Xenopus tropicalis: one gene and its partners. The protein of the gene in region 3 interacts with the protein of the main gene of each other region in a biochemical or structural test. Links are inferred from orthologs where the notes say so. Each region holds a gene or a part of one and is shown on either strand. Other genes may lie near its edges.

Evidence for each region.
Region 1: the proteins of bmp7.1 (region 3) and acvr1 form a complex in vitro, tested with the Homo sapiens proteins (2 studies listed by BioGRID). The link is inferred for Xenopus tropicalis from reciprocal best matches to the Homo sapiens genes BMP7 and ACVR1.
Region 2: the proteins of bmp7.1 (region 3) and acvr2a are reported together in a solved structure, tested with the Homo sapiens proteins (2 studies listed by BioGRID, with this or other methods). The link is inferred for Xenopus tropicalis from reciprocal best matches to the Homo sapiens genes BMP7 and ACVR2A.

Annotation. Positions count from the first base shown.
Region 1 is NC_030685.2:73,923,083-73,926,734, reverse strand, and holds part of acvr1 (activin receptor type-1 precursor), read right to left. Parts: intron 2,476-3,652; coding exon 2,329-2,475; intron 1-2,328. UniProt on the Homo sapiens protein: Bone morphogenetic protein (BMP) type I receptor that is involved in a wide variety of biological processes, including bone, heart, cartilage, nervous, and reproductive system development and regulation.
Region 2 is NC_030685.2:77,286,322-77,290,073, forward strand, and holds the start of acvr2a (activin receptor type-2A), read right to left. Parts: upstream 2,760-3,752; 5' UTR 2,181-2,759; coding exon 2,126-2,180; intron 1-2,125. UniProt on the Homo sapiens protein: On ligand binding, forms a receptor complex consisting of two type II and two type I transmembrane serine/threonine kinases.
Region 3 is NC_030686.2:5,569,057-5,572,808, forward strand, and holds the start of bmp7.1 (bone morphogenetic protein 7), read left to right. Parts: upstream 1-1,112; 5' UTR 1,113-1,298; coding exon 1,299-1,695; intron 1,696-2,915; exon of another isoform or gene 2,916-2,936; intron 2,937-3,752. UniProt on the Homo sapiens protein: Growth factor of the TGF-beta superfamily that plays important role in various biological processes, including embryogenesis, hematopoiesis, neurogenesis and skeletal morphogenesis.

The DNA of each region.
Region 1 (3,652 bases), on a different chromosome or scaffold from region 3:
GCTAAGAAACCGGCATAAGCTTTTCCTTGTCCTTTAAACTCCATTTACACACATTAAAGGGGAGAATTCAAAATTCCATATCGTATAGGGAACTTCATGGTGCAGCCAATGTATTTTTCCTTGGTATCTATGGAATATAGGAATCTCGCTGCTTTTGCTTCCCGGCCCTCTGTCTGGACATGCAGACGCATACGGGAAAGGTGTTTGAGTTAAAATGGGCTGGAAAAACATAAAACAAGGAGTGCGTGACTGGAATGTGCATTATCCAGAAACAAAAGGCAGTTTAAAAGGACGAGATCTCAATGGTTTACTAAACGAGGCTTAAAGAAACAGAACTGCATTAAAGGAGAGCAGTTCATCGTCCCCTGAATAAACAGTGAGAGAGAATCACAGGCGCACCCTTCCCTCCGTACAGCAACCCAATCATCTCCCAACTCCCCGCAGATCTCCTCATCTGCCCTAACAGAGATATCATTTGATCTGACAGAGTTCCTGCCCATGAAATGTTTTACCCGAAACAACCAAATGATTTATAATATGTTTCCAGGGGTAACAACATGATGAGATAAGAGTTATGTAAAAAAGAACAATACTGTGTACAACAAGGAAAGAATAGGCTTGGGCACTGTGTCCACTTCCTCTCTATGTCCCCACTACCCATATTGTGGGTCAGTAACTACATTTGCCTGCACCCTGAGGGCAAAGGAGGTGCCAGGATAACACACGGCTAACTGAAGAGATGCATTGTATAAACATGTGACAGGTGTAGGTTCTGTTATCCACAATGGTGAACGCAAGAGAGGTGCCTTTGTGGGACGTATTCTCCATTATTGGCTTCACCCAGCAGGAGTCGTCTGTCATTAGAAACCAGTAGTGACAAGCAGTTTCCATTAATGCAAATGAGAGATTTCTCCGCTAGTTAAAAAACAATGGTGGAGAATATGTCTCAGGAGCCATGTACCTTAAAGGGATGGTAACACTCTTAATATACAAGGTGCTCCCTGCTTCCCCACCCAGCCGTCTGCTACTCACCTCTGCCAATTCCCAACACAAGATTCAAGAATGGGGAATGGGATGTGATTGAGTCAGGCATGGGAGGGGGTGGAGCAAAAGCAATGACAGGCTTAGGCAACGTTTAAATTTGTTTTCCAGCCTATCAGTACTGTGCTCCACCCCCCAAGCCAACGTCAACCATGACTTCCCTGTTCTGGAAGCAGTGTATGGGATGAACACAGATAAGAAGCAAAGGGCAGCTTGGGAATGCAGGACTAGTGCTGGGCGCTTGCATAGGAATAGCGACACCTTCCTATTAGTCACTATCCCTTTAACCTGGTCCTACAACCAAGCAGATGTTCCCCTATGCACAGCACAAAATTGGGATCATCAGATCATAACGGGGGCCTATGGAGACCTGTTGGGAAAGGACTGCCAGTGAAGTCCTTGCTCAACAGGATGTCTAAGCTGCTTGACATATACCTTCCAGACTATACACTGGCTGGGCAGGCACCATACACAGCCAATCCACACTCACCAGCACACCCTGGCCTTTCCACTCTGTTCCACCTGGTGCACAGTACTTCTAGAGACGTCGGCACAGGCCGACTTGGGTTACAGCAGCCCAGCATGGCTAGTTTTAGAGTGTTTAACTCGGAGATGAATTCATACCTATGCCTTTGCCCTTTATGCGGCTCTTCTGTTTATATATTGCACACTGCACTACAAAGGGCTCCAAAAGGAGCTGGGCAGGAGGGGGTTAAAACCACAGTTTAAGATTAAGACCAAACGTTTACACAGGCGAGAACGCCAAACAGATGAGTGTGCCGAAATGTTTGCAAAGGCAGGGAATGTAAAAAACGCAGACGCCCCTAGGGTCTGGCACAAAGAAAGCAGAACTGGTTTATTCTATAAAAGCATTTCATTGCAACGATTCCGCCCCGAACAGGAAACGGCCTGATTACCCCACTATTGATTATCTGCCGTCTTTATTTCCCTCCGTGCCGCTTTTACTCCGGGGCGTACAGAGAGAGAGAGAGAGAAACTGTCGCTTTAATAGAAACAAGAGAGCCGGGGCGGCTGGAGTTTTCCACTGACAGCAGTTGCTACCAAACAGTTACTAAAACAAGAAGCTGTCTTGCATTCCCATCCGCTCGAGCCATCTGGTGAGAATGTAGGACAGGCTTCTGCTAATTAAATCCTCGCCATCCCAAACTGAACATTTACCAGCATTCAGGAGGCCAAAAATCAGCCCTTGCAGCAAAACTGTGCTCGCTATCAAGTATTTATAAAGTGCCAACATGCTCCGCGGCGCAGTACGGCACAACATCTCACCCAGAATATTCTCGTGCCGCAGTAACACAGTGTTGTACAGCTCCGTCTCCCTGAACCAGGATTTTTCGTCTCGAGATGAAAAGATCTTCACTGCGACGCTTTCTCCTTGCCAGAGACCCCGCCATACTTCGCCGTATCGCCCTTTTCCTGGATGGGGAGAAAGAACAGAATTTATAGGACAAATTGGAGAGATTGCGCCATCAACTTGCAACACACCAGGTTCTAAAGGCCAAGTTTTGCATTTGGAACACGCGTTATGTTTACTGGGAATGTCTGAAAACTGCAGTTTCAGCAGAGCAAGTGCTACTTCGCACAGCCAGCAGAGGGCGCTGGGCAAGGAATAATCACATGACCAACAATGGCTGCTTCCACTCTAAAGAATAAACGCAAATATGCAGATAAATAATGCTTGCTGGGCCAAAGTTTTATAGACCATTTAAAGATTAAAATGATGGCCAAACCAACATATAAAAGGGTGTATTTTCACCTTTCATACCTTTCCATCTTTAAAGGATGGGTAAATTCAATTTCACCCAAAAGGGCAAATACAAGAGAAAACATGTCACTTGTTAGATCTGGCATGGTCGGCCATGTATGGGTATCTTTATGGCCGTGTATCTTTTTCCTGGCACGTAGCTATAAAGGAAGCCAGAACCTGTGCCTGCTGGAAACCTGTGAAGTAAACTACCCGGTGGGTATTGTGTATGGGGCCCCAAAATGATCTTGGGGACCAGTAACTCCTATTTATGCCATTGCTTCCTATCCATTTACTCTCAACTGTCGGCTGTCACATCATGCTTTCTATTCAACTGTCACAGCTTCTAGTGTACAAATGTCATGTTGCAAGCGTGCCCAGACTGTGACTTACACAAAGCCCCGCTCACTAGCAAGAATGCCGACACACTAGCTGCGACACAATGTGATTGGCTGCTGACTGATCCCAGCACAATAGCACATCGGAGTTAGTGGCAACACACCAAAAGGTCTCACACCAAATATTCCAGCAATGTCCTCAAACTGCTAGGCGCGTCCAAACACAGGGATGCCCTGACTTCATTATTTGGGGATTTAGCAAAAAATACATAAACAAAGCCTAATCTGCATAAAAAAATTTTTGTGTCACCTATGATTGAAATTCTCTCTTTTTAGTGCTTTAAAAATCACAAGGTGTTAGGGTGAAGACACACAGAGCTACTAGTAGCAGCTACTTGTTGTGGCTACTAAAATAGACAATGCTGATCATTTACTGATAATTGTCTCTACGTGTGTTTTAGCAGAGGCAATTCTGAGTATTGTCTATGGCAGGGGATTTTCTGGCATTTAG
Region 2 (3,752 bases), on a different chromosome or scaffold from region 3:
TTTCAATGTGCCACCTGCAGAGCCAGTTAACCATAAATTAACCCTAAAAGAGCTTCTCATATTAGCAATCTAAAACTGCAAGCTTCTAAGAAACCACTAAAACATGAAAAATGTAAAACACACAATATTTCAGAGAAGAACTCTTACCAATGTTTACATCTTTATTTCAGGTTTAATTTGCTTTAAGTCTTTCCCCTTAATTACTACGAGATCTTACAGATCTGAAACGTGACCCTTTGATAAGCTTTAGCAACGTGATACTTTAAAACGAAATTGAACGACGAAATGTTTGTGATTACATTTTTTAAAAGTGGCATTTGGTCTTTTATCGAGTTAATCTTGGGCAGAAAATGCAATTTCACAGCACAATCTGCCCACATTGAATCAATACCACTACAGACATAGGGCTAGACTCTCCCCCTATTTAATAACCACAAGGAAAAAGATCCATTCAGCAGAGCCCTTGAAGACCTGAAAGCTTTATAAATAAAGCTGAATGTCTGACTTTGGGGAACAATACCGAAGCAACTCAGGAGCAACTGGAGAGTGAAATCAAATCTGAAAGGCCGGAGAATGGTCCGACTCTATAGCGTACTCTGCACCAATGAACCAGAACACGTTCCACTGGCTGGAAGGAACAGATAAATCAGACATTAAGCATTCACGTTTCTTCTGTTCGCAAACAACACGGCCTTTCATTGCTCAGCTCTGGACAAGTGAGCAGATTTTCCAAAGCGCAACACACCATTTGCTAAGTTGGCATAAACCCTGACAGGTCCGCAACACAATGGGGGAAAATAAATGAGGAAATCAATGCAGCTTCCCGTCTAAGCGTGAATCTGACCGGTTCCAAGACGCGAGCAGTTTAAACTGTAAAAGCTCTTGAAGCAAAGACAGTGGGATTCAGTTCGTGCTTGGTTAAATAAAAGGAGCCTGCGACTGGGCGATACATACAAATTCAGGTAAATGTCAGCAGCTGAATGACAGCGCTGGATAAAGCACACTCCTCTTAATAAAATGGAAATCTGCGAGGATTATGGAAGTCTGAGAGGCTGAAAAAGCCCAAGGGTTGCTCCAAAAAAACACTATGTATGCCTGTCCAGAAGGGCACTGGAGCCAGTTAATCCTTTTGCTGCCAGACAGACTTGGAACAGGCTTGTTTGCCCCTTTGGCAATGAAAGAATTTAATGCTTTTTGATAGATGGCTTCACAATCAATGGAAATATCCTTAAAGAATCCCTGGCACTTATTAGGTTAACCACCCCAGGCTTTTCTAGATAAAATCTAGTTATACACTAGACTGTTGTATTCCAGAGGGTTTTTTTTTTTTGCAGTTCATATAAGTTAATGCCTAAAAACCAATGTCGCACATAAAGAAGGTCATCCATTGTCCCCCACCTATATACAAGATTTAATTGGGACGACTCGCTTAAAGCAAATAAAGCTACAGTGCAATGAACAAACCTTGCAATGGGAATATTAATGCGTACATAGGGCTGAGTGGATGTTGATTGATTATCACACAACTATAGCAAGAAATCCTGCAGCGATGTGTGCACAAAGCAGCCATGGCAATGCATCTATCAGTGAGCCGAACTGTATAGGGCTTGCCACCTGCCTAAACCACTTACTTTGCAAATTATTCTGCAATGCTAAGCATTCTGCAACCCCGCAACTAGCTACGGGCGAGTTGCAGCCTTGCCATTCCGTGCCCGGAGCAGACACCTTGCCCATACAGTGCAAATTTTGTTTAAAGATTCTCGTGTTACCTAGTTTCCCCCTTAAAGAAAGGCAGGCCGTTTACAGCTAGATACACAAAAACGACTTGAAAGAAATAAAATCAGATTATGGAGACTGCCATGATGATAAAACTAAAGAGACTTGCGTGATACAGATGAAAGGTAGTTTAAAGTGAACTGATACTACGTAGGTAACTGCAGATCTAACCAATATAATGCTAACTCATCTGCGGTAACTGGCAGCTAAAAGTGTCACTTTTACAATGCCAGATTGTGTTCAAAGCAATCGGTGCATACACACAGACATCCCCGTAAGGATTTGACATTTAACTGGCGTATCAGCCATTTTATTAGACCAACCACAAACACGTGTGAGACTGTCTTACCTGAGGAACAGGAGATAAGAAAGACTGCAAAGGCCAGCTTGGTAGCAGCTCCCATGTTTTTTCCTTTACAGTTTGTGTTCCTTTTTAACAATCCAATGACCTATCCCAGAGGAAGCAGCAGGCGTCCGCAAAGATCTTTTTAGAAACAATCCGAGAGAAAACAGTTTATGCCCATTCCAGATAAAGCAATAAGGATTTATCCCAGATAAAGCATATATCCATGGAAAGCCTTTAGGATCGATCCCAGAGAAAGCAGAAAGCCTGAGGGAGGGGGGGGGGGGTTTAAAGATATATCCCAGAGTAAAACTAGATTATAATAAAGGGAGAATCACAAATCAAGAAGTCTGGGGAGGGATCTAAACAGTTAATATCAATGGCAAACTTTTAGGATGTATCCCAGAGAAATCTATATATGACCATGAAGAATATTTAGGATGTTCCCCAGAGAGATGTATATAGCCAAGAACCTTTAGGCTCTGTCCCAGAGAATGCTGGATATGTCTGTTTAGGATCCAACCCAGAGAAAGCTGTTCGTGTCCATGGAGAAATCTTAGCATAAATCCCAGAGAGTAGAAACGATGTCCAGTGAGAAGCTTTACAATCTACCCTAATAGAGATGATGATCTACCCCAGAGTGCAGAGTTGGACCAGTCCATCAGGATCTACCCCAGAGTGCAGAGTTGACGTCCTTTAGGAATCTTTAGGATCTACTCCAGAGTTGACGTCCTTTAGGAATCTTTAGGATCTACCCCAGAGTTGACGTCCATTAGGAATCTTTAGGATCTACCCCAGAGTTGACGTCCATTAGGAATCTTTAGGATCTACCCCAGAGTGCAGAGCTGACATCCATTAGGAATCTTTAGGATCTACCCCAGAGTGCAGAGCTGACGTCCATTAGGAATCTTTAGGATCTACCCCAGAGTGCAGAGCTGACGTCCATTAGGAATCTTTAGGATCTATCCCAGAGAGCAGAGATGGACCAGTCCAAAGAGAAACTTTAGGGGGGGTTTATACCACAGGGAACAGGAGTTCATAGGGTGTCCCCCATATAATGCTACGGATAGCCAAGTGGAACCTTTAGGAAGAGCAGGACGTGTCCATGGGGAGAAGAGATGGGGGGGTATGAGGGTCAGCCAGGAAAGGGTGGGATGGGGCAGGTGTGCCAGACTTGGGGGGTATGAGGGATTTCGCCCCCCCTGAGCTGTGCCAGTGGTGGTGCCCCAGGAATACTAATAGGAAAGGGCTGGTAGAATGAAAGGTTAGCCCAGCTGGTACCCAAGTGCCCATGAAGTTCCCATGGCCAGGGATGAGGGGATATATCCGAGCCCCCCGCTTCCCGGGATCCAATACAAACACGGGCGTTACGGTACAAGCGCCCAAGGAATGAGAGAGTCGGTCGGTCTGTCCCTCACTCACGCCTCGGCAAGGAGCCGCTCCGTGACGGTAACTGCCCGCCTTTACTCCCTCCGCCAGCTCCAGCGCAACGTGTCTGAACGTCCGCCACCTCCCGGGCTAATCTCATCTCTCCCCATTCAGCAGCGCGGATTGCTGCCCCCCCTCTGGCCCAAGATGGCGGCCCCCGCACCGATTGTTTTTGTTTTCTCGCCTTCCCTCCCTCAGCCAGCCC
Region 3 (3,752 bases):
GGTTATCCCCCAAGTCATCATGGAGGGGCACATTTTGAGGTGATAATTTTGGGCTGTGGGCTGCTCGGTCCTGTTCTGTCGAGCGGTTGCACAATTCTGGGTGTCATTGTAGTTTAGCTGCCTCCGCTCCCTATAAATTTTATAGCAGTATAAATGCTCGTAAATGTGTGACATTATTACCTTAATACATGCATTAAAAGCACGTACGGAACTGGCCTCAAATCTTGGGATGAATAAAGTAAGCTCAAACTGAGTCTATTATATTTATTATAAGATAAAGAAACTTAACCTATGCCATCAAGGCCTTCTCTGTTTCAGTTGCACTAAAGGTGGCCATACACGTTAAGATCCGCTCGCTTGGTGAGGTCTAAGGGACCGATATCGGCAGCTACAGTCGGCCCGTGTATGGCCACCGTAACATCCAAATCATAGATGTGCTAAAGGCAAAATACTGTATACCAAGGACCCACTTATTTATAGATTGTAAGCTCTTTTGGGCAGGGCTCTCATCACCTTCTGTTTTTCTTATTGGTTACTGTGTATGTCCAATGTATGTAACCCACTTATTGTACAGCGCTGCGGGATATGTTGCCGCTTTATATGTTAATAATAATTCCTCATATTTAGATTGCAAGCTGTCAATGCAAGCATTCCATAATAGAGACAGCTTTGACTGCTAAACTTTCAGCAAATCACTGTGTGCATTATTAGCATCGATTCTGTTTATAGAATGTCCCAAACAGCCTTCCCTGTCGGAGAAAAGGAGGCTAGCCACATATGCCTGTGCCCTCCAGTTGAAATGATAATGAGACACAGACAGTCCTTAATCTGTTTACTTTCAATTACCAAATAGACAGTGGCCCACCCTTGTCTGTAGTCTTGCAAACATCCTGAAGCAACCTGATGGGATTCACAGTGCAGTTATTTCTTTCTCTCTGTTTATGCCCTCCTTCTTACTGCCTGCTCCTCCCACCACATTCAGTCTCCTGCTGGCTCCGTCTGCCTTCACAAGCCACTTAGACTTTGCTAGAGAGACAGAGAGGACAGATCAGACCCTACAGGGCAGAAAAAACAAGGATTAATCTGTATATCTGTCTTCCTTTGTCCTGTCGCCTGTTACAAAGTCTCACAATGACTGGGTTCAGCTGATGCAGAGGAAGCCTCCAGCTGTTCCAAGTTAGTGAGAACTTCAGCTGAGAGTTGGATGCACTGGTTTGATTTAATGCTCATTTATTGATGGTCTCCCCTTTGGAGAGAAGGGCAGGTGCTGTAGGTTTTGCCGTACAGATCCAAGGGAAATGAATGTTCTGCAAAAGAACAAAACGGGTTCTGTGCTCCTTTGGACATACTTCTTGTGGAGGATCATCCTGGCCGACTTCACCTTGGACAATGAGGTGCACTCTAGTTTTATCCAAAGGAGGTTGCGAGGCCAAGAGCGCAGGGAGATGCAGAGAGAGATTTTATCCATCCTGGGGCTGCCGCACAGACCCAGACCCCATTTGTATGGAAAGCAAAATTCTGCCCCTATGTTTATGCTGGATTTGTACAATGCTATGACAGTGGACGAAGAGGAAGCTGAAGGCTTCTCTTATCCATACAAGCCCATCTTTACCACCCAGGGGCCACCGCTGGCCAGCCAACAGGACAGCAACTTCCTCAATGACGCCGACATGGTTATGAGTTTTGTTAATCTAGGTGAGTACTGTTATCCCTTATCTCTTGCCTGGAGATGTCTTAACAGTTTGTTCTAGGTTCCAATAAACTTTCATATATGGCAGAAGTTTTATTGATTATACTATGATTTCAGTAACATTTTCCCATGCTTTACTGCAGAAACAGTCTCTGCAAACACAGGTTTTTAGCATTGCACGGAATTAGATTGTAAGCTTTTTACTTTTCCTTTACCCATTGGTGTCTGCTGGCTTTGAAGCTTTGCTTATTAGGAATGCAGTAGTCATATTTGGCAAAAGCACTTTGCTTGTAGTTTGTTTGGCGTGCCTTCCAGGGCATATTCTCAGGTGGAATGGTCTAGCTGCCTGCTACATCCGAGCAATTTCTTGGGATTGTACATGATCCGACAGGTCTGCGCACTTCTTTTGAAGTAGCAATTACTGTACAGAATAAGAAGAGAGCAGGAAATTCTGAGCCCAGCAGAGTTCAAAGCAGAACGCTCAGTGATTCACACTACGAAAATGAGCACAAATGGACTAGAGCCCTATTAGAGCGCTTAATAACATCCTTCAAACTGCATTGCTGCACCACCCTTTTACTGCTTGTGTCTTTGCAGCAAGGGATTCTCTAATGTGCCTTTTCAAGAAAGATGCATAAAGTAACTTGATTGCTGAAAGCTTAGTGCGTACACGGAACAGTCTCCCAGCATGGGGTTGTGCAAAGTGTTTCATTAAAGGGACAGACACACAAATATCTGTCCGTGTGATAAAATTCCAAATTATATATGTAGACACGTTTTAGACAGGTAAAAATACCCCGTAATATAGCACAGCCTACTAACTAGTATGAACTTCTAATCCCAGCGTTCCCAGTCGGCTATGTGCCGTCGGGGCAGTCAATCTTCATTGCACAGAAAGTTGCATCTGAATCTGCTTCCCTGTTTTCTGTAGATCAGTGGAAACCTTATGTCTTTAAATGATTGTGGGGTTTTGCCGCAGCGATAAAAAAACAGCTTGTGTTGTATAAACAGTGTTGTAATATTTGTTGTTTACATTGTTTTCTCTGTTATTGTTGTAATATCAACCCCCCCCCCTCGTAGGACGAACAACACTAGCAAACAGTCTAGAAGCAAGGGAACAAATATGAGGGCTTGATAAGACTACTAAGGCCAAATTTTCTGCTTAGGGAGAAGATGACTATCTTATGAAGGAGAAATAACCCGTAAAAATAAAATTTGTACAGACCTCTACCTCCCAAAAAAGTTAGTTGAACATCGCTGACAGGAGAGACATTGCGTTGAAACAGTAACTGAAAACCTTTCTGTAGTTCCATTGTTGATTCTTTGGGAACTTGGATTATTAGACTGTCAACACTAAGTAAGAGGGACGCAATCAGCCGGAGAAACAACCCTTTATTTCAAGCAGGTGTTCTCTTATCATAAATTACATTGTAAAATGCAGCATCTGTGATGGTTCCGCTAGCAGCCTATAATTTTAAGTTTAAGATTAGGGTGGCACAGAGTTAAGATGGCTGTACACACATACATGTGCTCAGTTGGTGGGATTGCCAAACAAGTAGATCTTTCACCCATTTTGCCACCCATGTACAGGGCAAAAGTAAGCTGATCTGGTCAGGGCCAACAATTGGATCCTAATGTAGGTCAATGCAGATCTTTTGAGGGAGAACCTCATCTATGAGCCAGTGATTCTGGTTTAGTGGGATTTACAAACCTGCTGGATAGATATCTGGCAGATTTTTAATAGGGATGCACTGAACCCAGTTTTTTGGGTTTGGCTGAATCCACCCCGATGGATTTGGCAAAATACCGAACCGAATCCTAATAATTAGGATCCATAAGGGGCAAAAATCCAATTAACCCTTCCAAATGCTAATTTGGCGAATCCGAACCCCGGTGAGAGAGGCTGAATCCTGGATTCGGTGCATCCCTAATTTTTGACCAGTTATCTGTTTGGCAGGCTTATAGAACAACCCGTGTATGGGTTGCTGAATGCTACACAAGCTAGGGGCCTGCCAGGTGAAGCCCATGTCCTGGCCCTTTTGCTCCAAGTAACAGAGTCTGG